5 linked regions of the Danio rerio genome follow. The protein of the gene in region 2 binds, or shares a complex with, the protein of the main gene of each other region. Links are inferred from orthologs where the notes say so. Each region holds a gene or a part of one and is shown on either strand. Other genes may lie near its edges.

Region 1 (6,446 bases), on a different chromosome or scaffold from region 2:
AATTACAGGGATGCAGACAGAAAGGCGAATAACAGCATCATCAGAAGGCTGCAGTCTTGAAAGTTTGCATTTTATGTAGACAAATCTTTTGTTTTTATGTTGGAGCTGTAATCATTCGTTTATCACAATACTTGTGATATATCATACAACAAAAAACAGATATCATGACAGGCCTATATATATATATATATATATGAGCAATTCCAGTGTTATGGATGTGACATTTGCAGTAAAAACTCAAAACATAAACTCACAGTGAAAGCACATGATAACATTATACTGAAACAGCCGTTTATATTTTCCAGAACAACTGGCCACAGAGTTAAGGGAGCAGAAATGATCAATCTGTAGACATGTTTTATACTTTAAATGAGGAAAATAAACATGCGTTATGGATGCGAGCAAAAAAACGTCTGCATACAACATGCTTTGTAGAAATTCTGTCAATTAATCTGCACAACCCAAAAGAAACAATGCTAATCTTAAGGAGAAGAGTCGCTCACTGTAGAATAAACATGATTGATTTTATTTATTTAATATTTTCACATTTAAGAGAAAAAAAGTGTCATTATGGATGTGACAAATGTGAAGTTGCCACTTGTATGACTTTGCTAAATCAAATAGATTAGTTTGTACTGTAAAATACTTGTCCAAAAAAAAAAAAAAAAACGGTTTCGGTATTTTGAGGAAAACTTAATTTTCTTCATGGCAAGGTTGACATTTGCACGGAATTGCTCGTATATATATATATATATATATATATATATATATATATATATATATATATATATATATATATATATATATATATATATGTATATATATATATATATATATATATATATATATATATATATATATATATATATATATATATATATATATTTGGCATGGGACGACTCAAGGTATACCATGGTTTGGGAAAGTCAAGGTTTTAAAACCATGAAAATTTTCCGCTATCCCGTTCCTAAGGTATAAATAAGATTTCTTTTTTTTTTTTATTAATTTTTGTTTTGTTTTTAAGGACAGCAGTATCTCCAGCAGAAAATATAATCAAAGATTCTGTTTTAAACTGGAAAAATATTAGTGTTTATAAAAAAACAAAGACTGCAGAAGTGAATGATTCATTAAAATGATTTAGCCTGACATGTTTACTGCTCTAAAATATTTTAAATGTTTCCCAAAATAGAATATATATATTAAAAAAGGAAAAAAAAGTTTAGTTTTTTAACCAGAGATTTAAAAAGTAAATATTTCAGAGCAGTGAGCACAATAACATGATACTGTGAAACCGTGATATTTATGTCCAAGGTTATCATACGGTCAGAAACTAATACCAGCCCATGCCTGATACATATCACCATAAACATGACAGGCAGCGAGTCATATCATAGCATCATGTGCAGCTCTACTGTAGCACTGAGGAAAAATTACTTAAATCAAATAATTGTTGTTAGGAAACTGGCAATGTGACAATTAAAAAAAACACAAGTGGCTCAAGGAACATGTCCATGTGTTGAAGGAAATCCTGCATATCCCAAAAGCGTCAACAACTCATTTTCAGCCAAAAGCAAAGTTCCAGCCTTTTCACAGCACATCACCTGCATTAAAACACCGTAACGCGACACTGTAATCCGTTACTTTCGAGAGAAACTCTCCCCAACACTGTTAATAACAGATACACACACACCATAAACACGCTGAAGACGAGCAGAACACACACTTTAACCCCAGATACTGATGATGGAGGAGTGTCTGCACTGACTCCTGCATTGCTGAAGGTGTTCATTACAGTACACCTGAATCTGAAGCACTGACTCCATCATAAACACACTGTCCAGCTGATCTCACAGCCACATCACACCCTCTACACACTGACAGGGTTATTTCTGAGACTCGGTGTGTGTCCTCAAGCTCTTATTCTCGGCGGAAACTGCGATATAAACACAGTGAGGCGACTGCTGCTGTGCTGCTTTCATTGTCCACCCTCCGACGGGCCAGACGAGGCTAAAACCCACTCAAATCTGCCTTATTGGAGACGAAGCCCAGAGGAGTTTCGGGATAAACTAAGGCGAATGATAACCGGGGGTCTGTGTTTATCTGAGAGGGAAAAATAAAGCGAAAACTGCACCTGTTTGCAGCCAGGCCGATGCCTTCTGCCTCTGTGTGCTCCGCCATAACGGAAATGCCACAAAAGTCCCCATTTCCCGCTCAGCGGTTTTCAAACTTCTGAAACATCGTGACTTTTATTTCCAGTATGAATTATTTAACTTAACTGGTAAAAAATATGCATTTTTCGGTATAGTCCAGTAACTTGGCCAACAGTTTTGGTTACCAGAACGTTCCTATTTAGTTAAAGTTATTTTAGTTATAGTTTTAGTTTAATTAGTCCCAAAAATAACCTAAATTAAAGGGGAAGATTTGTGTTAGCTGGAATGTTAGCACGTTCTCCCTCTCTTTATCCAGTTTTTGATTTATTGATTGTTTTTACGATTTAATTATATTTCGTTTTTAAAAACAATCAAAGACTAAATATTAATAAATGGGGTAGATCTCCTTAAAATAAATCCTGCCATCACTTACTCAACCGTTAACGTTACATGTCCCAAACCGGTTTAATTCCATGTCTCAGTTGAACACAAGTTATTTAAGCGTTGGAAACCAGTAACGTTAACTGTTGACTTCAATAGAATTTATTTTCTTATAATGGATGTCGATGGTTACCGGTGTCGAATGATATTAAGAATGCTTTTAGAAAAATCTTTATAATATATTTCTGTTGTGGACATAAAGGGTTGGAGAGGTTTTAATGAGTTAATTTGTATAGGATAAGAGTCCCCGTGCCGGAAGTGCTCAGACACGTGTGTTTGTGTGTGTTTTCCGCTCCTCCATCATGGACTCCTCAGTGCACACTAGTCTGCTGGAGAGGATAGGAGATGTGGTTCTTCCAGGCGATCTGCTGTTCTCCTTCAGTCCTCCTGAAGCCGGAGACGCGAACCCGAAAGCGGACAGGCTGATCTGCGGCCCGGGGCTGCGGCGGAGCGGAGCGGAGATCCGTGTGTGTAGAGCAGGAGTCCTGAAACACAAACAACCCAACATGTACTGGGTCAACTGTCAGCAGAGACGGGTCAGAACACACACACACACAACATGTGCCAGCACACACTATTGTTCAGAAAATTCACTAACACACACTACAGGGCAGAAAACACACAATAACACACGCTACTAGCCATAACACACAACCTAACACACACTACTAGCCAGAACACACAATACCACACACTACTGGGCAGAAAACACACAATAACACACACTACTAGGCAGAACACACAACCTAACACACACTACTAGCCATAACACACAACCTAACACACACTACTGGACAGAACACACAATAACACACACTACTGGGCAGAAAACACACAATAACACACACTACTAGGCAGAACACACAACCTAACACACACTACTAGCCATAACACACAACCTAACACACACTACTGGACAGAACACACAATAACACACACTACTGGGCAGAAAACACTCAATAACACACAATACTGGGCAGAAAACACTCAATAACACACACTACTGGGCAGAACACACAGTAACACACACTACTGGGCAGAACACACAGTAACACACACTACTGGGCAGAAAACACACAATAACACACGCTACTAGGCAGAACACACAACCTAACACACACTACTGGGCAGAACACACAATAACACACACTACTGGGCAGAAAACACTCAATAACACACACTACTGGGCAGAAAACACACATTACTGGGCAGAAAACACTCAATAACACACACTACTGGGCAGAAAACACACATTACTGGGCAGAAAACACACAATAACACACAATACTGGGCAGAACACACACATTACTGGGCAGAAAACACACGTTAACACAATACTGGGCAGAAAACACACTCTAACACACACTACTGGGCAGAAAACAAACAATAACACACACTACTGGGCAGAAAACACAACCTAGAACACACTACTAGGCAAAACACGCAATCACACACACTACTGGAAAAAAAAAAACACACCACTAGGCAGAAAACCCAACCTAACACACACACTACTAGGCAGAAAACACACAATAACACACACTACTGCCAAATTGGTTGACATCGCCCAACCCTACTAAATAAATATATATATATATGAGTGAGAGAGAGAGAGAGAGAGAGAGAGAGAGAGATAGAGAGCTGTATACTACGTTTGGTCTATATAAATCATTTATTTTAGTCATCTTAAAGGGTCAGTTCACTCAAGAATGAATATTTACTCCCTTTCTCAGCGTATTTTTAAACCTTTACATGTTTCTTTTTTTGTCAAACACAAGAGAAGATACTTTGAAGAATGCAGAAAACCGGTAACCATTGACTTCCATAGTAGGAAAAACAAATGGAAGACAATGGCTCCAGGTTTCCAGCATTTTTCTAAATATCTTATTAGTGTTCTGAACGGGTCTGGAACAAGTAAAGGGTGAATAAATGACAGAGTGTTCATGTTTGGGTGAACTGGCCCTTTTTAACACTGCACAGGTCAGGATGTGTCGTGGTGCTCCTCTATCTGTGCTGAAGGTGTTCCGGACTGACCTCTGCTCTTTCCTGCAGTATGTTCCAGCTAAGGGTGAGAGTGTGATCGGCATCGTGACCGCAAAGTCTGGAGACGTCTTCAAAGTGGACGTTGGAGGAAGTGAGCAGGCGTCTCTGTCCTACCTGGCCTTTGAAGGAGCCACCAAGAGGAACAGACCCAACGTGCAGGTACATGATGACAGAGCCACTCCAGCAGCAACAACTCATGATCAACAGTGAAATGACAGATCGACCCACAGGGAAGCAGCAGCAGTCAGTAATGCAGGATGATCTGCTGTCAGGGCTTCACCGTCAATAACTGTGATTATAATGGAAGTGAATGGAGCAACAACAGACAACATAACCAAGCAGAGTCAGTGTGAACACACACACACACACACACACACACACACACACACACACAGTGTGAACAGTGTGTTGATGAGTTATGAAAACTCTCACAGCATTTCCCCATAATGTGTGTCAGACTCAGATTATTCAGCAGAAATCATCACATTTACTGAAACACAGAGAAAGAGGACAAATGAAGACTCGACATCAACCCAGAGTGGAGGAAAACAACCCAGCAAAGTCGTGTTCGGTGTGTATGAGTCCTCCTAACGCTGCTGTTTGCTCCTCCAGGTTGGAGATCTGGTGTTCGGGCAGTTCACCATCGCCAACAAGGACATGGAGCCGGAGCTGGTGTGTATCGACAGCTGCGGGAGAGCCAACGGGATGGGTGTGTTCGGAGGCGACGGGCTGCTCTTTAAAGTGTCGCTGGGACTCGTGCGCAGGTCTGACCTACAGCTACACACACACACACACACACACACACACACACACACACACACACACACACTCAACAGCACAGGCAGCAGGGAAAATAAGAGTTATAGAAACACACTTGTGAAGCGGACGAGTGTTTAAACACAGTGTCTGGTGTATTAGGACAGGTCAAGCCAGCACACACTACTGATCAGAAAACACACACTAACACACACTACTGATCAGAAAACACACACTACTGATCAGAAAACACACACTACTGATCAGAAAACACACACTAACACACACTACTGATCAGAAAACACACACTAACACACACTACTGATCAGAAAACACACACTAACACACACTACTGATCAGAAAACACACTATAACACACACTACTGATCAGAAAACACACACTAACACACACTACTGATCAGAAAACACACACTACTGATCAGAAAACACACACTACTGATCAGAAAACACACACTAACACACACTACTGATCAGAAAACACACACTAACACACACTACTGATCAGAAAACACACACTAACACACACTACTGATCAGAAAACACACACTAACACACACTACTGATCAGAAAACACACACTAGTGATCAGAAAACGCACACTAACACACACTACTGATCAGAAAACACACACTACTGATCAGAAAACACACACTAACACACACTACTGATCAGAAAACACACACTAACACACACTACTAATCAGAAAACACACACTACTGATCAGAAAATGCACACTAACACACACTACTGATCAGAAAACACACACTACTGATCAGAAAATGCACACTAACACACACTACTGATCAGAAAACACACACTACTGATCAGAAAACGCACACCAACACACAGTACTGATTAGAAAACACACACCTGTGTGGAGCACACTTATGCATCATACTGTTAGGTGTAGCAGTGTGTGTGTTACTATAGAGATGGGTCTTTACTCTAGTGTTGAGCGGAGAGAGTGTGTCTGAGTCTCGGACATTATCAGGAAGGCTATACCTGAGTTTAGGAGCCATAAATGAGAAGACTCGAT
Region 2 (6,397 bases):
AGACAATTACATTTTTGAGTATTTTTAAAGCACTGTAAAATACAAACACACACACACAAAAAACGCAGAAACAGGTTTACTCTTTTGGCAAAATATATAAAGAAATATATTTAGATGTATATATAAATATATATATGGAAGAGATCTTAGTCCAGCACTTATAAAACTCAAGCACTTTAGGAACATTTGTTGTCCTTCCTTGTGCAAGGTTTAAGTTATTTCATCACGGGGTAACATTTAACTTTACAGAGATGTTACGTTTCCTCACACCAAGTAATGATTTCAAAACAATCTCTATACAACACTAAATGTATCCACAGACATAAACAACCGAAACAATCACATCAACAAACCATTGAGATAACAAAGGATATATTATACATTGAATGCTTACCACTGAACTGAGGTTTAGACATGCCTTTCTCTTTGGTCTGTAGACAAGCGGTTTCACGTTACGTTAGGCTCACCTTATGTCAGGTATTCAATAATAAAAAATAAATTTTACGTTACATGGAATTATTCGATAACAAGACGAGAAAGTATAGCTATAGTGAGTCAGGCCGTTACAAAACGACGGTTGATTTTTAAATGAAGGTTTTGACCGTTAGAATTTAGGCGCGCAGAACAGAAATTCAAATAAATGTGAGGTTTTGATGCCATCTAACGTTCCTCATTATTACTGAGTAAATCATTTATGACTATTTTAATATTTAACTAATTATTCCACATCTTGATTAATTTAAAATTTTCATAAATGCTGTATTTACAAATTTAGTTCTGTAATTCTGCAAAATATAGCTCATGAATTACATGAAAACAAACATCAAACATACAAAACAAATCAAATCATAAAGGTTATGTATGTTTTTTTTTTTGTTTTTTTTTTTTACGTGTCCCCTCTTGAAGTTCTGGGAAAGTTGTTTTATGGTTGGAAAAAAAGTTAAATCTAAAAAGAATTCGCAAAACGTTATCTTTGGCTTTAAAAAACTAACGTTAACAGGAATCAAAATCTAACGTTAAGGGAACGTTGAGTGTTCTCTGACCGGCGTTATGGAAGAGCAGCAGGTGCTGGATGTCCGGCTGGATATCTCTGGTCTCGGCAATGAGTTTTTCCACTCCTGCTTCACAGCCCAAATCCACCGGGACGCAGCGGACGGTGAGGCCGGTCTCCCCGCGGGTCAGCGCGCTCTTCAGCTCCAGCAGCTGCTCCTCCGACCGAGCCGCGAGCACCAGTACTGAGCCCGGAGATACACGTGCCGCCACCGACAGAGCCAGAGCTCGGCCGAAGCCCCGGGATGCCCCGGTGATGATGACCAGTGCTTTCCCGAATCCCGAAGCCGTGCTCATGATTCCCCAAGGACTGACGAGAAGAGCTGCCGAAGAACCGGAGAGTTCAGCATCGATTAGTCACGCCTCCGGAAGACACGAGAGACCCCGCCCACTTTATGGTTTATTAATAAAATAATAAACTGTGAAATAGAAAATTTATGACTCCAGGAATACACAAAAGAGTAAATATAAAACAAAACAATAGACAAATGAGTGAAAATAACAAACAATACTGTAAATGGGGTTAAAAGAATGCTAAAAACATCAAGAAATAATTAAAGAATCAGAACAGTGATAAATATATATACAATAAATCTATACAAATTTATATTAATAAATATATACAAATTTAAACAATTTACTAGATACAGTAAATATCTAGGCCACGAGATCAATTCACACAATAAAACAATACATAAAAGATATTTAGGTGTATGAAAATGTGTAAATAGTAACAAATATAATAATAAATATAATAATAATAATAATAATAATAAACATAATAATACATGATTATTTATATAATCTCATTCTTTTAAGAACCTGTGTTTACACAATAAAAGAATAACAAAAATAAATGTAGAAAGCAAATTGGTTCTGAAAAGTATAAAATTATTTTGTTAGAGCATATAATGTTAACTTAATGTTTTAATGTATTAAAGTTTTGCTATATTGTCATTTAAAATGTTAAATATAAAAAGTCTCTTAATTCTCGTTACAAAATAAAACCTCACACATTGTATAACACGAACTTAAATCGTTATTTAATGACCAAATTCAGATGATTAGATGCTCAAACCGAACACGAACACAGTCGGGCTTTTATTATGAAGTGGAGCCGTGCTCGCCGCCATATTGCCCGGCTATAGTGTTGTTGAAGCATGGCGGTGGAGATGCGGCTTCCAGCGGTTCACAAACACGTTTCCCTGAAAACAGGACAGAGTTCCCGCGAAGACAAACACCTGGTTGTGCCTGGAGATGTGATCACCTCCGACACGGGCTTCATGAGGTACACAGACATTAATAACTGGTATTAACTGAGCTGTTGTAGAATAAATGTGTGTGTGTGTGTGTGTGTGTGTGTGTGTGTGTGTGTGTGTGTGTGTGTGTGTGTGTGTGTGTGTGTGTGTGTGTGTGTGTGTGTGTGTGTGTGTGTGTGTGTGTGTGTGTGTGTGTGTGTGTGTGTGTGTGTGTGTGTGTGTGTGTGTGTGTGTGTGTGTGTGGAGTGAACTCGTTGAGACCTGCAGTCTGTCAGTCTGTAGCGGACTTGATTGAGAACTCAAGTTAGTGTATGTAGTGTATTTGTTCAGTGTTGGAGAAAGTTACTTTACTGACAGACTCTTCTGGAAAGTAACTAGTTGCGTTACTTTTTACGGTGACGCGTTACGTTACTTTTAAAATACATTATTTACATGTGTATTGATTGAGGTAAAGTTGGTTTGTATTTGCACGTTCGTTCATTTTTGAACGGTGATAACTTGTGACACGTTGCCTGTATTGTACTTTGAGTATTCGGTCTGAAATCGCATGTAGTTTGACTTAAAAACAACATCAGCACTATTTAATTGACTGTAAACAATGTTGTACTCTGATAGTCATTGGCTGCTGATATGAGTTCATTATTAAAATTTGTAAAGATTACTTTTTTGAAACTGTATTATTAAGAAGAAAGTCTGAATGTGCCAATATAAAACCCACTTTACCTCAATTGTGGATTGCTGTAGCAAAGTAATGCTTCACAACTCTGAAAAATCAGTCATCAGATATAAATACTAGAAAGATTTTAAATGATATATTATTTGATAAAAGTGCTCTATGTTTAGACTGTAATATTATGCTTTAAAAATGCAACCGCAAACATTCCCACAGGTTGTAGGGTTAAGGATTAAAACTTGTTTAAATGGCCTTTCCAGCGATTATATAGTTTGTCATGATTAGATTAGTATTTAAATGCAGTATAGTGAATTAAACTTAATCGTCCTGCCACTGAGACGTTGATTGTTAATGGGTTAAAACAGAACCTCTAATGTGCCAGTAAAACATTTCAATAGCATTGACTAACAAAGTCACCAAAACAGAACTTCACAGTCTGCATAAGAAGTCCATGCTTTATAAACGTCAGGGACTAGTATCATAGAGTTGTAATGATAGGATAAAGTCTGCATGAGAGCGATTATGCATTATGGATGTGACATTTTAACAGTGCTGTAAAATACAAGCCTACTCAAAACACCGGGAAAGGGTTTGGTGTTTTTGTGAAGAATGTATTTGTTTATTTTATGGCAAGGTTGACATTTGCATGGAATTGCTCAAAATCTAAAAGGTCCAAGACAAGTCTAATATTATTACTGATGTGTCTAGCTCTTACAAAGCCGGACTGTGTCTCCACAATCAGCTGACTGATTCTTTATCTTTAATCTGTTAGGAAATATCAAAAATAAATTTATCGTCAACAGTGATGAGCGTGATGGACACCAATTATCGGTTTGGGAACACCTCGTTTCATTGATGATGTCTTGTCTTGTCTATTAGATCAATGCATTCATTATACATCCAAAGCAAAGGGTTTTTAATTAATTTGTGGAAAGAGCATACCAATCTTGACGGATAATCCATCATTGCTGGGAGATTTACCTTTCTTCATGGACGATTCGAACTTTCTCCAAGGTCAAATTGGAATCAGAGTATATTAAATTCAGAACTGGATCATGCGTTTCCATTTTATTTACAAAAACAATCCTTACATTATCTGTCAAAAGCAGAAGTGTAAATGTTTTACTAAAAATCTGTAACAAAATTAACTATTAATTAATTTCCGAGTGCCCCAACTTTCTCTTTTTGCGTGCACTCTTGCGTGTCTATATCTGAAATAATAAACCTGAGCTCATGGTGAGAACTTGTGTGTGATTATTAAAGTATTTTTCACATCCATTTAGAAATGGCCAAACATGAAAGTCAAGCTTAAACAGCAATGTTAATATGGCTTAATAAATGTTTTATAGCAGTCTAGGAATAGAATCATAGCTTGTGATGTTTATAGTCTGCATAATCGAAAAGGTCTAAAAAACTGTAATATTATTACTGATGTGTCTAGCTCCTACAAAGCCGGACTGTGTTTCAGCAATCAGCTGAAATCTTTAATCTGTTAGCAAATATCAAGGCTAAAATTTTATTGTCAATAGTGATGAGCGTGATTGCACGCTAATTATCTAAATTTTAGATCAATGCATTCATTATACATCCAAAGCAAAGGCTTTAATTAATTAGTAGAAAGAGCATATAAATGTGCCGGTCAATCCATCATCGCTGGGGTGAAACAAGAGCCCTTTAAATTTTGCTTTACTGTCTTATTGAATGTGAAATTCCAATTGTGCGAAGATAAAAACCGTTTTCATCTGACTTCACCTCGTCCTCAGGGGTCACGGCACCTACATGGATGAAGACAGACTCACCGCTTCAGTGGCAGGACAGGTGGAGCGAGTCAACAAACTCATCTGTGTGAAACCGCTGAAGACCAGGTGCACACTGACTTACACTAACGCCACAGCACAGGTCTCAAACTAAATTCCTGGAGGGCCGCAGCTCTGCACAATGTGCCCCAACCCTGATCAACTGTGTTTGATTGGCTTGGAGCAAAACTGTGCAGAGCTGCGGCCCTCCAGGAGTTAGAGACCTGTGCACTACAGTATAGCACACTGCACTTCACTAATGTATAATGCTGTGGTAATACTGTGTTCTAGATGTGATGTTCTCCTCCTGCAGGTATAACGGAGAGGTGGGTGATGTGGTTGTGGGCAGAATCACTGAGGTCAGTGGTGTTCAGTAGTTTATGTATAAAATCTCTCGTTGTTGTTGTTGATGATGATGATGATGATGATGATGATGATGATGATGATGTGCATCTCTAAATGTTAAGGTGCAGCAGAAGCGATGGAAAGTGGAGACTAACTCGCGTCTGGATTCAGTGCTGCTGCTGTCGGCGGTCAATCTGCCTGGAGGAGAGCTGGTGAGCTGGCAACACGCATTCAAGGGGCAGTTCACACACAACTCAGTTACAATACTTTAATGAATGCTCCCGCACTCTCTACCATTAACTATAGTGGACTGATAAATACCCCGCAGTTGGCTTGTTTGTTTATATTATTATAGTTGTTGTGTTACCATAGCAACTGTAGAATTACCACATCAGAGCAATTACTATTGTGGTTGTGTTACCATAGCAACTGTAGAATGGCCACAACAGATCAATTACTATAGTTGTTGTGTTACCATAGCAACTGTAGAATCACCACAACAGATCAATTACTGTAGTTGTTTTGTTACCATAGCAACTGTAAAATCACCACAACAGAACAATTACTTTTGTGTTTGTGTTACCATAGCAACTGTAGAATCACCACAACAGATCAATTACTATTGAGGTTGTGCTACCATAGCAACTGTAGAATGGCCACAACAGATCAATGACTATTGTGGTTGTGTTACCATAGCAACTGTAGAATCAGCACAAAAGATCAATTACTATAGTTGTTGTGTTACCATAGCAACTGTAGAATCACCACAACAGATCAATCACTATTGTGGTGTTACCATAGCAACTGTAGAATCACCACAATAGATCAATTACTGTAGTTGTTTTGTTATTATAGCAACTGTAGAATCACCACAACAGATCAATTACTATTGTGTGTGTGTGTGTGTGTGTTTTTTTCTCAGAGACGTCGTTCCACGCAGGATGAGCTGGCCATGAGGGATTATCTGCAGGAAGGAGATCTCATCAGTGTATCCTCCACATTTACCGCATCAGACATTCATCATCCCTGGATATACAAACAGTGTTCTTACTGTAAAAATACAGTCATTTAAAATAGGTATCAGCATTGAAAGAAAGCTGAAATATATAATAAAAATGTTAGCTTTCTTTCAATGCTAATACCTATTATAAATGACTGTAAAATATGACCTTTTTTATTAGTGCTTGTTTAATAAATACATTTATATTTGAGTTTTGGAAATAAAAAGTCATTAATATTAGCACTTATTTGTCTAATTTAGCATGAATCATTTT
Region 3 (5,282 bases), on a different chromosome or scaffold from region 2:
TCAGAATTCAGGGCACTGTTTCGACTATCACACTTATGTGAGTCAATCAGGGATTTCATCAAACATCTGTTTGTAACAAAAAACTTTTGTCCAGTAAGAATTAAAATGCCTTCATATTGTGAACTTCGAAGGTCCTGTTTTTGTTTGCTGTGTGATGTCATTTTAACTGAACCATGAAGACAAGGTGGGAAATAGAGTAGCTCCTGACCTTGTCAGATACAAGAGAGCATTTGATTGGTCAGAAGATTTGATTAGACCAACAGTATCTGGATGCAGCCTTTATGATGCAAGCTGAGACTGCATCACTCAGCGATGCAATTTCAGACACAATGCAATCAAATGAAGCTAGTGAAGTCACTGTGACGGGTGGGGTTAGGTAAGCCCATTAATAAGCATTGGATGCAGCCCAGATTGCACTGCACCAGGTCTGCAGCCAGACCCCTCTCGATTAGACACTGGAGTTTGAAGTGACGTCAAAAAAATGTTTATCCATTTAGGTTCGTTTTTGGTTGTTTGTTTTTTTCTAATTGCCAAATTTGTCACTGTTTTGGAGCACACTAGATTACAGATATCATTAAGACTAACATACCGATAGTAACATCTAAACCTTTTTTTTTTTATTACTGATTCATTTTCAGTTCTTTAAACAGGATTCCCACACTTCCACAAACAGCAAATTCAAAGACTTTAAAGTACTTTTTAAAGCACCATTAATTTTAAATAAATCGCTGTTGTAAATCATACACCAACTGTACTTAGTATTTCACTTAGACTTGTTGTTAGATATTTATGCTTAAATGTAGTAATTTTCAAAAATGAATCGTTTTTAACAGTCATGTTTTTTTTTAACAAATCAAATCATTATGTGACAATAAAAGTGATTTGATTTGGATGTTGAAAAAAACTTGAATGTGCATTAATTTGTCAGTTTTATTGTGCAATATTGAAATGAAAGAATTTAAATTTCTCAGTGTTTTGTTCTGTTTTGAATTTATTTGTCTGAAATTCAAGTACTTTTAGGAAGCGTGGTAACCCTGTTTAAAGGGGCAGTTACCTCATAAATAAAAAAAGTGCTGGTTGCTCATACTTGGGTTATCCAAGAAGTAGGTGTCTACTTAATTAAAGATGTCCTATGGTGATTCAAATAATAGTTCTAGTCACGGCCACCAACACAGAGTCTGTGCATCTTGCAGAGATTAAGGTAATATTCTTATAACATTTACTTTCTAGCACAGAACAGTTGATTCATTTCATAGAAACCCAAAGAACCACGGGTATTAACTTGTTTTGCCTGTGTTTTTCAGACTATGAAAGTGCTGCAAGCTACTGACTTGCATTTTACGACTGACCATGGGCAATGGCTTCATCTAAATATCTTAAATATTCTACTAAAGGAAAAAGCCATCTAGACCAGAGATGCCCAAACTACGGCCTGCCATCCTATCTGAGAAGTGAGGGAGAATGATGAAAAGGTTGGTGCCATGCCGCGCGCTTGTCATTTCTAATTTTAATGTAACCTTTTGTTTGTTCATTTAATTGTTGGGTTGCAAAAAAAGCAACTGAAATTAAAAGTTTCACTTAAATGTTGTGCATGAATCACATTTAAAAAAAAAAAAAGTAAGAGTCCTTGATGAGCAAATCAAGTGTCCTGAATATATTCAGCAGTGAACATTATTGTTATAAAGAGGATTGTTTTTTTATTGTAAGATGTTCATTATAAAATGCAAAAAAGATATAATTATTAATGATTTCAGTATTCTTTCAATTTATTTTAAATATTAATAAATAAGGTAATTACCATGGCAACTGTAATGTAATACTTTGGTTTATTTAACTTCAGCTCACCACCTATAATCAACTTTTTTGGCCCCTCATAAGAAAAAGTTTGGGCACCCCTGATCTACACCATGGATGGCATTGAGGGTGCGACAGGAGATTTTCGTTTAGGGGGAAATAATCTGAATACAAAATCAGCAACACCACTGAAATGAACAAATACAAGATCATAGAGGAGATAAAACTGCAGAGGAGTTTATTTAGTTGGTTCGACATTATTACACATTTAAATGTACAAAATTTCAACAATTGTAATCATTTTAACTGTTCTCAAAAAGAAGCGCCAAACAAAAGTCTATTTCTCAGGCGGAGGCGCTTTCTTCTTGACAGCCCGCGTCAGCGCTTGTTGAACCACCGGGTAGAGTTTATGACAGCCGTCCATGCAGGTTCTCATAGCCTCGGTCAGAGTGTCCTCCCGCATCTCCCCGTCCGCATTCAGGCCAGACACCTGATTCAGATTGGGAAGCAGAGCCAAGGTGACGCACCCCTGGTTGTCTCCGTAGCCCTCCTGCCAGCTCCCGCACTCCTCGGCGTATGACGGGTCAACGAGACACGCGTTTCCGCTCTGCCGCAGCGTGCAACCCAAAACAATGTCGTACATCTCGATACCGGCGTCCGCCAGGGCCATCGAAGCGCAGGTCACCGCGTGCGCCAGAACCGAGCCGTCATTCTCCAAAACCATGACATTCACGTCAATCTGAGAGCGCGGGTATCTGTGTAGGCAAACTCCCGGCCGCAAGCTCTCCATCAGAGTGGCGGACAGGTCTCTCTCCTCGCTGCCCTGGATCCAGGCTCCCCGTTTCACGCAGGAAAACGGCGCGAGCCTGAAGTCGCAAACCAGCCGACCGGTTTTCATGTCCGTTTCGTCCCTTCGTTCCGTTTCCTTCGGCCCGTACACCGAGCAGATGATCTTGGTGTTTCCAGCCTCGATGTACGCGGAGCCTTTCGCCTGGCTGACTAGCCCGCAGCGCGCAAACACCGGCCGCACATCTCCGTTCCCGCGGACGCCCTGCCTGCTGCTGGGGGCTTTAGGGGCTTTGTCCGGGGACAGAAAGAGCAACGGGGACTGCGACTCTTCCGGTCCACGAATACGTTTTGTGTCAACCGGCATTTTTAATAAACCCACGTGTTTACGAGAGCATAGCTTACTTTGCAGCGGTGAAACTACTCAGTCTTCCTCGAGGAATCAAATGCTTCGGGATGCTGCAATCAAATGCTGTTTGCGCGCTGCTGCCCTCTGCCGGATAGGGATAACGTGGCAAATGTGCTGTGGCAAAGACATTATGCTTTGTTAGATGTGATGTGCATGTTTTAAAGTCAGGAATGAAATAGTTCATTTGACAGACGTAATGTAGACCTAGTTTAGCCATTTTTCAACACGTTGGATATTACTATTTTGCTGCAGTGTAGATAGTCGAACACTGATGTGACTTGCAGTCTGCAACCATAGCTCAATACACGGTGCTGTTTGTATTATTACTTTTGATAGGCCTGAAGTATGCAGAGAAACATCCTTCACACCATTAATAATGTAAATACCAACTGTTGAAATAATGTGGACATTTTACAATAGCAGCAACACAACGAACAGTCATTTCCCATTGTCAGACAGTCAAGACAGATAATTAAGTTGGACAGAAGACATTTGCCCAATACAGAATCAAAATGATAGCAGTTACACGATACAGCATATAGAAGCAACATAGCAGCACAAATTAACAAACACACACACACACACACACACACACACACACACACACACACACACCATTACACTACTAGCTGGCTAAACTGAAGATGCGAGACAGGATGGATCCATGCATTAATGTTGTTTAGATCAAAAATCTGACTCCACAAAAGTTGTAGCAGAAATCAAGACTCACCTAATCAGTTTTTCAAGCTTCCTTTGTCCAATTTCGGTAAACCATGTTAGTGTTAGGTTAAGTTTGCTGTTTTGCTGACAGGAGTAGCATCATGTTCTCTTCTGCTGCTGTAGCTCATCTGCTTCAAGGTTTGACATGTTGTGTATTCATTCAGAGATGGTCTGCATATCTTGCCTGAAGAGAGTTATTTGACTGTTGCCTTTCAGCTCAAAACAGGTAAATGTCCTCTGACTTCTGCCATCAACAATGCATCACATCCCTTTCCCTCAAAGTCGGCATGACTAAATGCATTGAGTTTTCTACTGTATGTAAATAGCTCGTTTAATTTTTGAGTGGCAGTTGAGTATATACAGTGCTCAGCATAATTGAGTACAGCCCAATTTGAAAATTTGTAATTTTATCCATTTCTCAGTGAATATAGGCAATGAATCCTGGTGCTTTTAAACAAAACAGATTTAATAAACAGAAATATGTATTAAAATAATATATTAGTCACAAAACATATTTAGAAGTTAAAATATTATACAATTAAATTCAAGTGAAACATTAAAAAATTAAATTACAACCTACACAATTTCAACAAAATTTATTTATTTTTTGCTTCTCTTGATTTTTCCTCTTTTTAAAATTTGTATTTAATATTTTTCTGTATCATAAAAAATTTGTTATTTTGTTGGATAGGCTTCAGAACTGACTAATCTATTGTATATGCACAAATATAATATTGTACAGCTTCCTATTACAAATATGAATTTAAAAGAGAGATTTGTGAGGGGTGTACTTATATAAGCTGAGCACTGTAGGTTTAGGCTAATTACAATTGTACAGTCCATGGGCCTCTCTAGCTGGATCTTATAAAAATACTTAATCACAATGAGTGAAACTCATGAAACTTGGCTATATGCAGGGGCGTCGCCAGGGGGAAAAGGTTAGAACGATTAAGAACTATGCAGGGAAGATGCACTCTTTTTGGACCCCCAGAGTTACTATTTGGGGGCCCAATCAAACTGGCAACAAAAAACACCCCAAGCACCCCCATATGTGTGTTTTCTTTTTGGCTTAGTCCCTATATCAATTCAGGGTTGCCACAGCGCAAAAAGGCCAAGTCACTTCATTATTCCGGGGTCGCCACAGTGGAATGAACTGCCAACTTATTCAGTGTATGTTTTATGCAGCGGATGTCCTTCTAGCTGCAACCCATTACTGTGAAACAATGTCCCCCAATGTCCACCACTACGCTCTTCAGTTCGCGACAACACCACATCCGCCACCAATACCAATACATTTAATAAAATAGATTGTATAAATATTGCACAGCATCATAAAGCATGGTTTTCCCAGAGATGGGTTGCGGCTGGAAGGGCATCCGCTGCGTAAAAACCTGCTGGATAAGTTGGCGGTTCACTCCACTGTGGCGACTCCAGACTAATAAAGCGACTAAGCTGACAAGAAAATGAATGAATGAATCAAGCATGGTTTAACATTACAGCAAGTACTTAAAAGTTCAGTATAGGCTAAAGGGTCTAAGAGTTGAGAAGGCCAAATTATTGACCCTTCCATCTA
Region 4 (6,383 bases), on a different chromosome or scaffold from region 2:
AATGTAAAAAACAAAAAAGATTAGAAATCTATTTAACAACATTATATATCCACTAGCGTTTTACAGAAACTCAATTTCTCATAAATTATCTAAAGATACCATTCACATACTTAGAACTAAATACCTAAAGTTTCCTCTCCACTTCAAGTTCATTTTAAAATTTTAAGTGGGATAATCCGTCAAGTGAATATTTAAGAATTAGATTTGGATTTGAGTCTAATAAATGTATGTTTTTTCATGATTTTAAAACAGCAGATCATTTGTTTTATTTTTACTGTATGTTTGTGGATGGCTTATGGTCAGATGTTTGACTGGCTTTACCCAAAGATTCCACACCTCAGGATCTTTTATGTGAATGACAACATTTATGGACTTGCAATGGACAGTAAGGAAAATGCCTTTCTAATTAACAACATCCTTATGCTTGGACAATTTTACATACATAAATCAAAATATTTAAAAGTGAAACCAATGTTTTGTGCTTTTTATAATGAGATTATTTCATATAAAAAAATCTCTCAAGATAATGAAAACAAAAAGTGCAATTAATCTTCTATTTTTAATAGAAATGTATAAATTATAGGAAAACCCCTGGTCCTTTTTATTTATTTTTTAAGATTTAGTTATGTTTAATAATTTACTTATAGATATTTTATATAACAAATTATTTGTTCTTTATTTGCACCTGTTTCCTTTTTTGTAATATAAAGGTGTATTGATAATGCCAAGTTGTACTTTACTATATGTTCAATAAAAAATAAATGAAAAGTAAAATTAACAAAAAAGTTGCCATTAAACAGGGATAATAAGAAGAAACTTGACTGTACAAAAAAAAAAAAAAAACAATACAGAAGCTTAGCTACTTGTCCTGATGGGTAGCTTTGTAGGTTATCAAGGTTTCTACAGGTTTCTCAAAGTCAAATTTAAGACTTTTTAAGACCTTTTTAAGACCCTTATGAATGAAATTTCAGACTTGTACAGGACTAAACCGTAAAGATTTGTGCTTGCCTCATTAAAAAAAAATCTAATTACTTAATACTTAAATGTGTCAAAACAAGCAAACCATACATACTTTTCTTTGACAAGCTTTAAAAACTTTATTAACCTAAATGTACAATAGTCTTTTTAAGGTCAGTGTCCCCGCCACATATGGTCTACAAATCCCCGGAGAACATAAAAAAGTTATTATGAGGAACCATATTGTTAAATAGAGTTTTGTTAAAAGTTTTATTGGGGTGTGTTATTGGTGAGTGTATACTGTATACAGGTGTTGGCCTGATTTGGGAAGCTTTACATGGATATTAGAAAATTACAACCTATTTGTAATGATTTAAGACCTACAATTCAATATTTCAGCAAATTTAGAACTTTTTAAGGACTAAAATTTTATTTTGAAAATGTAAAACATTTTAAGACTCTGTGGATACCCTGTCAAAGTAACTTCCCCAAAAACTGGCAGGGAATAAAGTGAATTACCCTAAGCTAGGGATGTACACTGCATAAAAAGTTAATTCTCTTTAAATTTGTGTGTATGTGGTTTGCATATTGATAAAGTCACATATTCGCATGAGAAGAATTTACTATCACCTGTAATTTAAATGTGCACAAGACATTAGCTCATAATTAAGATCCACTTTAAATATGAAACAATTTAATAATGCAAATAAGTTGTAAAATGTAAAGATTTTTTAATGACCCATAACAGTCAGGATTAGTGTTGTTTTTTTCATCCACACGCCCCCTTCAACTAGCCAATCAGCTCTGAGTATAAATCCACAGACATGTGAAGGTTGAAGGATCCATTAACTGTTACCTACAACAATCTTCAGACATCTGACCACTAGTTATTGCATTTAAAACAATCATGACCATGTGACATTGAGCACTATTTCTTTTGTAGGTCAGATGAGGAACACCTAACTTATACATTAGCATTTACATTATTAAGACAGTTCAGTAGCTTTTATGTTTGAAACTAGCATAAAACGTCTTTATACAGATGTTGTTAATATTAGTCTCATACAATTCTAGGAAATGTTTTCGGTCTCCCACGGCTACACACACTTCATACAACCTGAATGGCAAGTTTTGCTAATGTTAAAAGTCCGTTGGTGGCGTATATGCAGCTGCCATAAACGTAAGACTTACATTGACGCGGAATCCCCTTTGTTGGAGAAGCGTTGTTGCTTTTAATGCTGTGTTTTGACGAATTGCATGAAGCCCAATGCCATATAATTTCTTCACAGCTCTAGCAGCCGCCATCTTTACGTCAAGTGCGTGTCTCTAGCGTCTTTTCCCTCCTCGTCTCTGGAAATCCAACACACTGCGCCCCCTACAGGAAAAATGTTACTCCTCATTTTTACGGTTTTGTCTGAGAAATGTATCCTTTTATGTACATTTTAAATTTGATTGGGGTCACGGTAGTGTGTATAACTAAAAGGAACAAGCAGAAACGTGCTTATAAAGTCGCTATACATGTGTCATTACATCCTTAATTCCGTTAGAGGGCGTAAGTGCACTGCTAACATGTGTCATGTCGTCATTATTGTGCGCTCAAAACAATGACCCATTTATGGATGCGACGAGCAGATTGTGCATGAGGACCGAGATGGAGCTGGAGCGAAGTTGTCCAGTTTTAAGAGAATATGGAAGTGAACAGAGTTTGTTATCAAGACCTGACGGGTCGTCCACGTTTGTACAAGGTAATTTATAAATGTTTAATGTAATTTATTTCTTTACTCATGTCATAGCAGTTATTTATCTGTCAGGCCAAAGAATATCCAGAGATCTATTCCATTCATTTAAATATGTATCGTTTTGAATTTGTAAATGTGTTTTTAGGGGACACGAGTATCCTGGCTGGAGTTTATGGACCAGCTGAGGTTAAAGTCAGCAAGGAAATATATGATCGGGCAACTGTAGAGGTCCTTATACAGCCCAAAATGGGGCTTCCAAGTATGTTTTTAAACAGTTTTATTTGCAGCCATATTTTGACAGTAATTGCATTATTTATTAATATTTTTTAATAAAAACGTGTACATGCAAATATATATATTTAATCGCGTCATTGGAATGGAGTTTAGTTTTAATTAATTTAATGTTATATGTCATGTTATGACAATATTACAAATTTATAAAAAATTACCTTTATCTTCAACAAATCAACATATTTGAAAGATTTTTTCAACACATTTCTAAACATATTAGTTGTAATAACTCATTTCTAAAAATGGATTTATCTTATCTTTGCCATGATGACAGTAAATAATATTTGACTAGATATTTTTCAAGACACTTTTATCCAGCTTAAAGTGACATTTAAAGGCTTAACTAGGTTAATTTGGTTAACTAGGCAGGTTAGGATAATTAGGCAAGTTATTGTATAACGATAGTTTTTTCTGAAGATTATCAAAAACAAAAAAAAACAAAAAAAAAAAAAAAAAAACAAAGAGACTAATAATTTTGATCTTAAAATTGTTTTAAATAATTTAAAAACTGCTTTTATTCTTGCCGAAATAAAACAAATAAGACTTTCTCCAGAAGAAAAAATATTATCAGACATACTGTGAAATCTGTTAAACTTCATTTGGGAAATATTTTTAAAAACAATCAAATGGGGGTTAATAGTTCTGACTTCAACTGTACATTTACACTACTGGTCAAAATTTTGGGGTCAGTAGGATTTTTAAATGTTTTAAAATAAGCTTGTTCTGCTCACCAAAGCTGCATTTATTTAAACAAAAATACAGGACATATAGGACAATTGTGATATGTTATTGCACTATAAAATAATAAATTATATTTTATATAAAATCATTTATTCCAGTGATTTTACACATAAATTGTCAGCTTCCTTTAGTCTTCAGAGTCATGTGATCTTTCAGTAATCGCTCTGATATAAATTGTTATTATTATTGCTGTTATTATGGGGGTAATGGTAATAGTAATAAAAGTAGTAAAGTCTGGAATAATAACTTCATTTGAAACTACACACAATAAGAAAGCAGTTATTAATTAATTTTTTTTATTTTTTTTTACTTAATAAATGCTGCCTTGATGAACAGAATCATTTTCTTTAAAAAAATCGATATGAAAAAGTGTGTGAGATCTACATGTCTACATGTATATTCATCTATTTATTTTTTGCTTTGTATTATTATCATTGCACTGATGTTGGATTAACTTAAATCTGTCTGCATTTAGCATATCAGCTATAATGTGAAAGACTGATACAGATAATTAATAATTAAATAATAGAAACGCATTGCACATCTTTTGAACAATCTAAAGTTTTTACAAAATAACAAAATACAATATATATACAAATATCAGGCATGAATCTTTTATGTGCATTATGCCAGTTGTGCACTGGAAAAGCAGCTGGTGTGCACCATTAGTTTGGGTTAGTTTGGGATAAAACATCTTTCTTGTTCAAAAAAAAAAAAAAAGATTTAGTTTTTTTTTTTTTAAAGCAGAAATATGTATAATTTACAGATAGCAAACTGCACTGGCTTTTTTCGGTTATTTCAGGAAAGTTCTATTATAGCAAAATTGTTTAGTGTTATTAAAAGAAAATCCCCTAATCACCTTTGAACATTGTCATATTGCTTTTTTTTGTCTTAAAACGTGCCTCTCTTAAAATGTTAGACATTTGAATTTTGAATGGATCCAATCTATATTCAGTTCAATGAATTTAACTGAGTAAAAAGTAGCTTGTACTGTATGCAGATGACTAATATTTTGATATATTGGCATGCATTTCTAAAACATTTCATTGTTTCTTAAGTATGTGAAGTTGTTGGACACATTTCCTTCTGCTTTTTTGAATTGATTTATTCAAAACTGTTGGACTTATTTACAGTATTTAAGGCAAGTATGTTAGAAGTAACTGCAATTAAATTACCCATCCATGAAAAGTAACCTACTACTTTACATTTTCAGTACAAAAGTAATTACAGTAACACGTTACTTTGTAATTAATTACACCTAATATGTCCCAGACCAAACACTAGCCACTTTGTTACTAGTTACTAATTACACCCAATATAACACAGACTAATGCAACATAAATATGAATTGTTTGTCACTTTTTTATTTAATATAATATAAGAAACAATTACCTACATGAGTATAAACTGTTTAAAGGGAGTCTTAAAACTACATGTCAGGAAGAAAATGTTATGCCATAAAAAATGTGTGTCGTTTATGTAAATTGTTTTTATTTAGTCAGTGTTTTATTATTACTAATTATTATTATTATTAATGTTTAATAATACACATATACAGCTCATACTAGAATAGTAAACATAGTTATAATTGCATGGCCTGCACAGCCATGTTTCAGCATTAGGTGTCAGTCTGGTACAGTATTTTTTTAAACTTCCTCATACTGTGGTGCGATGTGTTGTGTTAGGTGTCCGCGAGCGAGCGAGAGAGCAGTGTGTCCGTGAGACTTGTGAAGCTGCCCTTCTGTTGACCCTTCATCCACGCTCTTCTCTCACGGTCATCCTGCAGGTCGTCCACGATGATGGATCTGTATCCTCAACACCAGCAAAACTCTTCTTTATAAATGCAAAATGAAGAGGGGGCAAATATGATGTGTCCGTGGTTTTATTGTTTGAACTTTTTAGTCACTTACCGTTGAAGGGAGGAGTTTGTTTTGAATATTTAGGGTTGAGTATTAAAGATTAGTATGTTTTATTACAATGAATGTATTAAAACGAAAAAAGTGGCAATATAGACTAAACGTACAAAAAAATTGAAGATTTGAATAATTGGCTTCTTTTAATACTCTTCAATTTTATTATGTTTTAACGCTTGTTAGGAATGTTTTCATCCACTCTGGGGTTATTTTGAGTCTTAATTTGGCCACAACTTGTTTCAGCAAGCGGAATGATTTTGGTGACATTTTATTTTGACAAATTTTTGCAATTTAAAAAAAAAAAAAAAAAAAAACCTCAACAATAGACTCAGCAGGGCAAGTTTACTACACTGGTCCTTTTCGTTATGTTAGTGGCTGTTTTTGCCCTATTGATTTCCATTATAATGACATTTTTTTGATTGCAAAGTCATGAAACCATATTGTTATGCATTCTTGATTGGTGGTGGTTTTTCTCTTTTGAGAAGAGGTACAATTAGTAATTTTTACTGTTGGCCATTAGTTGCAGTGTAAAAAAAGCATTAGTTTCTGGCTTTTATATAGAGTATTGTGTGAGTGTAACCAAGTGTAAGAGCACCTTTGCGTACTTACCTTGATATGTCTGAGAAAATTAAAATAAGCATCTCAGCTCTCAAAACATAGCAAACATGGTGTGTTTATGCACCCTTACTATAATTTGCTGTTATGCTTCAATAAACTCCATATAAAAGCTAGAAAAGGTTTT
Region 5 (6,629 bases), on a different chromosome or scaffold from region 2:
TTATTTATTTATTTTCTTTGTATTTTAATTTTCATTGTTTCACTATGTCATCCAATGTCATGGTTGTTAATGTGATTGTATTGTTAAAACACAATTATATTTAAAAAATAATAATTTAGCCACGCCTCTTTTACAGTTATGAGGGTATAATGCACAAATATAAAGCCCCGCCCCCTACTTAATATTCAGTCTGAAGTTCATCACCATGCTGAAATTAAAGTCTCCGCAACCCGGTTGGCATAAGACATATTTCACCCAACAATGAAATGTAATTTGCTCACTGAAGATGTAGGGGCCTTTTTTCCTCATTTACACAATAAATTTTTGTTTAGTCTTTGGTTATTTACACAATGGCACCCGTTTCTGAGATTATTACATTTTTACTATTTTAAGCTGGTTATTGTCACACACTGTTAACACACAACTTCATTTAAACCCCTTATAAAGTGATTTTGCATGCTCTAATCCTGCACATTCATTTATTATGCTTGTTTTCTAAATGTATGCGCATGTGGGCGTTTCCAGAAAAAATAAATACCAAAATGTGCATAAAAATAGGTTGATGGAAACATAGGTAATGTCTGATGAAAGCAGAAAGGGTTGTTCATTCACACTGTGAAAAGCAATGAGTTGAATTTACTTTAAAAAAAAAAAAAAGTGAGTACACCCATTGCTTTTCAAGCTGTTAGTTGACTTTAAAAATTGAGTAAACTCATTTTCTTTTCGGCTTAGTCCCTTTATTAATCTGGGGTCACGGGTGACTTAGTCTTCACAGACAGCGTGACCATCCTTCTTGAAACTCACAGATGGTCATGGCGTGACCAAAGTATAAACCAACTCACACGTCTTTCTCGCCTTTAGCCATTGCAACCAATAATTCCAATATAGGCTGGCGCGCGCAACAGGAAGCGGGAGACGCATCTCTACAGCAACCTCTCGCCACACAACCTCTCCAATGCGGCGCCTCGTGATATTTGCTAAGAAGTCATATCAATTATATTCATTATCATTTGACAGTAGCGGAGGAACGCCGCCAAATGTAGCGAAGTAAGAGTGATGCTGCGTTCACACCAGACGCCGAACACGTATCAAGCGCGAGTGATTTGCATGTTAAGTAAATACAAACGCACCAATAGACATCCTGCAGCGCGATACGTGCGAAAGGTGCGGCGCGAATGACGCGAATTGCGCGAATGGCACGATACGCGCGAATGGCGTGCTGCAATTTGAGCGTTTTGTGCATTAGACGCGCTTGGCGCACGTTTTGCGCGAATCACTCGAGTTCGAAAATCTGAGCTTCAGCGGACATTCGCGCCGCGTTAACCAATCAGACACCGACAAAAAGTCATCAAATTGGGCTGGGCTCAGTCAGAAGCACCGCTGAAAGCCTCCGTCATCCAGGTTCAGTTTCTGGAGAAGTTTATGAGCTCACAGAACTGGATGCACGTCTGAAAGAAACTAGTGGACTCAGAAACGTATCGACGCTGTTTTTCAGTCTTCATAAAACACATAAACACTGTTATTTTCTTCATACAATCTATGTTAGCCATTTAGCTATGAAGCTAGTCACCGGGCAGAAAGAAGCCCTGCCCATCACGGGAATCCGCGTCTGTTGAATTGAATTTGACATGCGAATGAAGCGGATTTGACGCGCGAATGAAGCGAGTAAACTCAAATGTTCACGCGGCTATTTACACGCAAATAGCGCAATTTATCCGCGCATTCCGCGTCTGGTGTAAACACGGCATAATGATTTCTCTCTTATAATTTACTTGAGTAAGAGTAAAAGTAAAAATTTTTAAATGTTCTCAAAAAGTACCCAACAATTTTACTGAATTAAATGTAATGAAGTAAATGTAATTTGTTACTACCCCCCTCTGCTGGCTATATAATTTGCGATCTCCAGAAGTGTATACAGGGCTACGTTTTCAGAATGAGCCTATGTTGGATGTTTATTTCATGCACATGATTCTCACAGCTGCTGTCTAGTGAAAACAGGTTTGGTGGGAACTTTCCCAGTGAAACGTATCATCCATATCACTCTCAATACAGGCTTTTATTGACCAGAGTCTGGTTTTACACCTTTGAGAAGAAATGAGGGCTGACACTCGCTCTAGAGTTGCCAACTTTCCTATATTTTGGGCCACATTGATTTGTGCCGTACAGGAAAAATCTACCTTTTCTCTTTTTATTGAATTCTGTGCTGATTTATTCATACCACCGTGCTGATTAAGACTGGAGAATGATGATTCTATGAGGGAAACTGCTGTATTAAAGTCCCTGTAAAATCAAAATAGGCTATAATGCACAGCTAGTGTTTTCGGCTACCGATAAACTTCTGGTGAAATGTTAATGTGACTATTTTTTATTTCATACAGTTCCTTTTACAGCATCGATGTTGTAATGTCATTAAAATATAACTGGTTAAACATATTTAAGCATTCATTTAGTTGTTGAAGCCTAAAATAAGATGAAAAGCTGACAAATCAAACACTGTCTTGAGCAGCAGGCGAGCGCAGAAACTCCATTATAAATCCTGAAGTAAAATAAAAGTCCCTATAAAGACTACAGAACAATGTTATTTTAATGCATTGTTTCTTGTTAATTCTGAGACCCAATTTACATTGTAAATCATTATAATTGATTTTTTAAAGGAAAACAGATCTAAAACGCTGCGATTTTGTAACAGCAGTTCATTGGAAGCGCTTGTACTGGGTTACTAAAAATTAAAAGTCCTGCTGCATGTACACTATTAAAGGTGTTAGTGTGAATATGTTAGTCTTAATGTGCTTTAAAACAACAATAAGAAGCTACAAATATTCAAAGATTGGGTTTAACATAAGTAAGCTAACTCTGCCATCTAGAGAACAACCTAAAATACAGTATGAGGATTACTCGCATTAGTGAGAACTCAAATTAATCCAGCAGATGGCGGTAGAAGATACACAAGGAAAGCAAAATCCACAGCAGAAGAAGACCTGTGCGGAACAACAAGAAGAAGTTCATCACACACACGCGTGTTTTCAGTTAAGAAGCGGAGAGATATGGCGGGTCTGGAGCTGCTGTCGGATCAGGGTTACCGACTTGACGGACGGAAAGCGACCGAGCTGCGGAAGGTGCAGGCCCGCATGAGTGTGTTCGCGCAGGCCGACGGGTCTGCTTATCTGGAGCAGGGCAACACTAAAGCTCTGGCCGTGGTGTATGGGCCACATGAGGTGTGTGTTTGTGATGTCTTGGGTATGATAACGTTACAGGTATTACAATGATATGGTGAATTATGAGGACATGCTAATAATAAAATGCGACACACATAAATCTCTTTTTTTATTGAATAACGTTACAAGAATAATAAAATCACTGCATTGAAGAAAAAATACAATAACAAAAAATAAGAAAGGAGAGAGAGAAATAAAAAACACAGCATCAATCAAGAAAAAAGATTGTCATAAGCTTTAAGAAACTTATTATTATTAATAAGCTTAAGAGATTCAATATTGTACGAAATTTCAACAAGGAAAGTATTAAAAATAGGTATTGTTTGTATAAACTTATTTTTCGTGTATAAAAAATTTACAGTGTAACACAAAAAACCAAGTGTGCCGCAAGCCTACCTTTGAGTGAAGGTTTCGGCCGTTAGATCGCCCCCTGGGGGCTGGCTGCAGTACAAGTCATAAAGCCCGCCTCCTCCGTGTTAATGAAGGAGACTTGAGCCCAAATAAAAAAAAAATATTACACTTGCAATAAAATGTCCCGAAAGATAGTTCTGGTCGATTAAGGCACTGGTTATTGTGCTGAAATAGGTGCAGATCCTCATTTTTGTAAACAGTTTGTTTTTAGCAGTAATTTAATGCTGGGCGTGTCATCGTGATTGACAGCTGTGATTGACAGTTTCTCAAAGCAGCGCGTCTGAGCTTCGGCAGGAGACTGAAGTAGACTGAAATGTTATTATTCGATTTCTGTGTTATTTTACCGTGACAAAATGAGTTCAGCAGTAAACTACAGTTTCTGACATACATGATCCTGGTGGAACACTGTTTATTCGCTAAGTTCAGGGCTTTTTTCGGGCTTTATTAGTTTGCTGATACACGCCTAGCCACCCAGATAGCAAAACACAGTTCCGGCTAGATTCTCGCCTGCCGGAGACTTATCTCTTAGAGCTCAGACTGACTAATGTTACCTCTGCTGGACCTACTCCGGATGCCTGGACTCACTACCCAATTCCAGCCCGAGTCAATCGAGCCAGATGCGGCGGCCGAGCGAGCCGGCGCTGCCGCATGTGAGCCGGAATCAGCCCGCGACGCCGCGAGTAAGTTATGTGTTGCGGCCTGGAGCTGGCGCGATTGAATATATAAAACCCTCATATTTGTTAACGTTATTACATCCATTTGTGTTGATATGACAGCAAACGCACGCTGAGCAGTTCGGGGGGCGTGGTTGATTTTACATAAAGCGTTTGGTTGGAAGCTCGACTCCGCTCATTTTCGCGGCTCCTCCTCTGGCTCCATCAGACAGTCCTTCTGCGCATGTCTGGCTCCAATTTCAGCAGTCTTTTGCGACAGTTTGTGCCCGTCAAGCAGGCGTTTTGCCCTCAAGGCGTTCAATGGGAAAAAGGGCTGTCGCGTCGTCCATATTTTTTACAGTCATTGCAAAAAACACATAAATCTCACAGACATCATCAGAATGTATTATGATGTATTTAACCAATAACTGTATACCCTGCTGAAAAATCCAGCTTAAACCAGCCTAGGATGGTTGGCTGGATTTAACTGGTCGACCAGGCTGGTTTTAGTGGGTTTTTGGCCACTTCCAGCCATTTCCAGCCTGGTCTTAGCTAGGGCTGCTCGATTTTGGAAAAAATCATAATCACGATTATTTTGGTCATAATTGTAATCACGATTATTCAAAACGATTATCAGTTGAAGTCAAAATTATTAGCACTTTATCCTAGGCTGGTTCAAGCTGGATTTTTCAGCAGGACTATATATGAAACTGGGAATATTTTCTCTGTCAGTGGTCAGAATGTCAGTGGGATCTCATTTGTTATTATTTTTAAAATAAATTAAAACAAGAACAACACATTTCCGTATGTTTTTAAGTATTCGTGGATTCAATATAATAATATAATTCTTAATTAGTTAAACTGTCTAATATAATTGATTAAAATGGTGCTGTGAATAATAGACAATAATTATTACAAAACACTCAGGCCAGAATCTCTGCAGTAACGTTGTCCAACGTGTCGGTTATGTGTAACATCCAATATTTTATCATCGTTTAACTGAATAACATGTTGGAGTTCATCTTTGTCCCTGTAGATTCGAGGCTCTCGCAGTAAATCCTTGCATGATCGCGCCATCATCAACTGTCAGTACAGCATGGCCACGTTCAGCACGGCGGAGAGGAAGAGACGTCCACACGGAGACCGGAAGTCCAGCGAGATGAGCCTCCACCTCAAACAGACCTTTGAGGCTGCGGTGCTCACTGAGCTCTACCCACGCTCACAAATCGACATCTACGTCAAGGTACATGGACTTCTTTACGTTCATGCCGTTTATCATCCATCCACTCACCTGCCCAATTTTGCATCCACCAATCTCTGCATCAGTCGTTGATCTATTCTTAAATGCCCCCATGCATCTGTGCTTTCATTCATCCATCACCGTAAATCATATTGTATATTGATACTGAGTGCACTTTGGATGTTTTTAAAAACGTATACCAAATCATCCACACATGCATCCATCTGTGCATCCATCCATGCATAAGTTAATTCACATATTTGTACACATCTTAACATCCAGTGATCCATGCATGAATCGATCCGTCCATCATCATTCAAGCACATCCGTCCAAGCCTTCATCTGTTCATCCACTCATCCATCTGCTCAGTTGGTCATATGTCCAACCATACATCCTCCCTGGATTCTATCTGGAAATTCATCCATCCACCCACACCACTATCAATCCATGCATTTATTCAGCCATCAATCCATGCATCCACCCAGTTATCCATCCCTTCATGCATCCGCCCAACTATCTATCCATTCATCCATCCACCCACCCAACCATAAAATCACCAAGCTATCAATCCTACCCTTCATCTACCCACCCAACAGTCCATCCACCCACCCAACAATCCATTCATGCATCCATCCACCCAACAGTCGATCCAACCATTCATCCACCCAACTGTCCATGCATCCACATAAATATCCATCCATCCATGTATACACCCCACTGTCAATCAACTCATCCACCCACCCAACTATCGATCCAACCATTCATCCACCCAATTAATTATCCATCCATGCATTTACCCACCCAACAGTCCATCCATCTATGCATTCCCCAACTATTCATTCATCCAGCATACACCCACCTACCCATCCATCCACGTACCCAACTATCCATCTATCTATCCATCCACCCAACTATCCATCCACGCACCCAGTTATCCATCCGTCTACCCACCCAACTCCATTCATGCACCCACCCAACTATTCATCCATCCGACTTTCCATCCTCCATCTGACTATCCATCATCCATCCGACTATTCATCCATCCAACCACCAACTTTCCATCCCACCAACCACCTAACTCCATCCATGCACCCATCCAACTATCTTTC

The links.
Region 1: exosc2 (region 2) and exosc3 share a complex: the UniProt entries of both Homo sapiens proteins name them as parts of the RNA exosome core complex. The link is inferred for Danio rerio from reciprocal best matches to the Homo sapiens genes EXOSC2 and EXOSC3.
Region 3: exosc2 (region 2) and exosc6 share a complex: the UniProt entries of both Homo sapiens proteins name them as parts of the RNA exosome core complex. The link is inferred for Danio rerio from reciprocal best matches to the Homo sapiens genes EXOSC2 and EXOSC6.
Region 4: exosc2 (region 2) and exosc5 share a complex: the UniProt entries of both Homo sapiens proteins name them as parts of the RNA exosome core complex. The link is inferred for Danio rerio from reciprocal best matches to the Homo sapiens genes EXOSC2 and EXOSC5.
Region 5: exosc2 (region 2) and exosc4 share a complex: the UniProt entries of both Homo sapiens proteins name them as parts of the RNA exosome core complex. The link is inferred for Danio rerio from reciprocal best matches to the Homo sapiens genes EXOSC2 and EXOSC4.

What each region holds. Positions count from the first base shown.
Region 1 is NC_133189.1:58,544,395-58,550,840, reverse strand, and holds the start of exosc3 (exosome complex component RRP40), read left to right. Parts: upstream 1-2,882; 5' UTR 2,883-2,893; coding exon of another isoform or gene 2,894-3,127; 5' UTR 3,128-3,639; intron 3,640-3,834; 5' UTR 3,835-4,520; coding exon 4,521-4,793; intron 4,794-5,246; coding exon 5,247-5,398; intron 5,399-6,446. Other genes in the region: tcerg1a (transcription elongation regulator 1a), read right to left, coding at 2,132-2,178. UniProt on the Homo sapiens protein: Non-catalytic component of the RNA exosome complex which has 3'->5' exoribonuclease activity and participates in a multitude of cellular RNA processing and degradation events.
Region 2 is NC_133180.1:78,503,945-78,510,341, forward strand, and holds the start of exosc2 (exosome complex component RRP4), read left to right. Parts: upstream 1-2,144; 5' UTR 2,145-2,210; coding exon 2,211-2,338; intron 2,339-4,745; coding exon 4,746-4,847; intron 4,848-5,091; coding exon 5,092-5,137; intron 5,138-5,245; coding exon 5,246-5,335; intron 5,336-6,045; coding exon 6,046-6,111; intron 6,112-6,397. Other genes in the region: spra (sepiapterin reductase a), read right to left, coding at 1,044-1,347. UniProt on the Homo sapiens protein: Non-catalytic component of the RNA exosome complex which has 3'->5' exoribonuclease activity and participates in a multitude of cellular RNA processing and degradation events.
Region 3 is NC_133182.1:29,202,845-29,208,126, forward strand, and holds exosc6 (exosome complex component MTR3), read right to left. Parts: upstream 2,948-5,282; coding exon 2,132-2,947; 3' UTR 2,007-2,131; downstream 1-2,006. Other genes in the region: slc38a8b (putative sodium-coupled neutral amino acid transporter 8), read left to right, coding at 2,691-3,100, 3,874-3,935. UniProt on the Homo sapiens protein: Non-catalytic component of the RNA exosome complex which has 3'->5' exoribonuclease activity and participates in a multitude of cellular RNA processing and degradation events.
Region 4 is NC_133193.1:38,982,826-38,989,208, reverse strand, and holds the start of exosc5 (exosome complex component RRP46), read left to right. Parts: upstream 1-2,568; 5' UTR 2,569-2,572; coding exon 2,573-2,702; intron 2,703-2,841; coding exon 2,842-2,955; intron 2,956-5,413; coding exon 5,414-5,535; intron 5,536-6,383. Other genes in the region: bckdha (2-oxoisovalerate dehydrogenase subunit alpha, mitochondrial), read right to left, coding at 2,149-2,262. UniProt on the Homo sapiens protein: Non-catalytic component of the RNA exosome complex which has 3'->5' exoribonuclease activity and participates in a multitude of cellular RNA processing and degradation events.
Region 5 is NC_133177.1:2,082,075-2,088,703, forward strand, and holds the start of exosc4 (exosome complex component RRP41), read left to right. Parts: upstream 1-2,989; 5' UTR 2,990-3,044; coding exon 3,045-3,215; intron 3,216-5,315; coding exon 5,316-5,522; intron 5,523-6,629. UniProt on the Homo sapiens protein: Non-catalytic component of the RNA exosome complex which has 3'->5' exoribonuclease activity and participates in a multitude of cellular RNA processing and degradation events.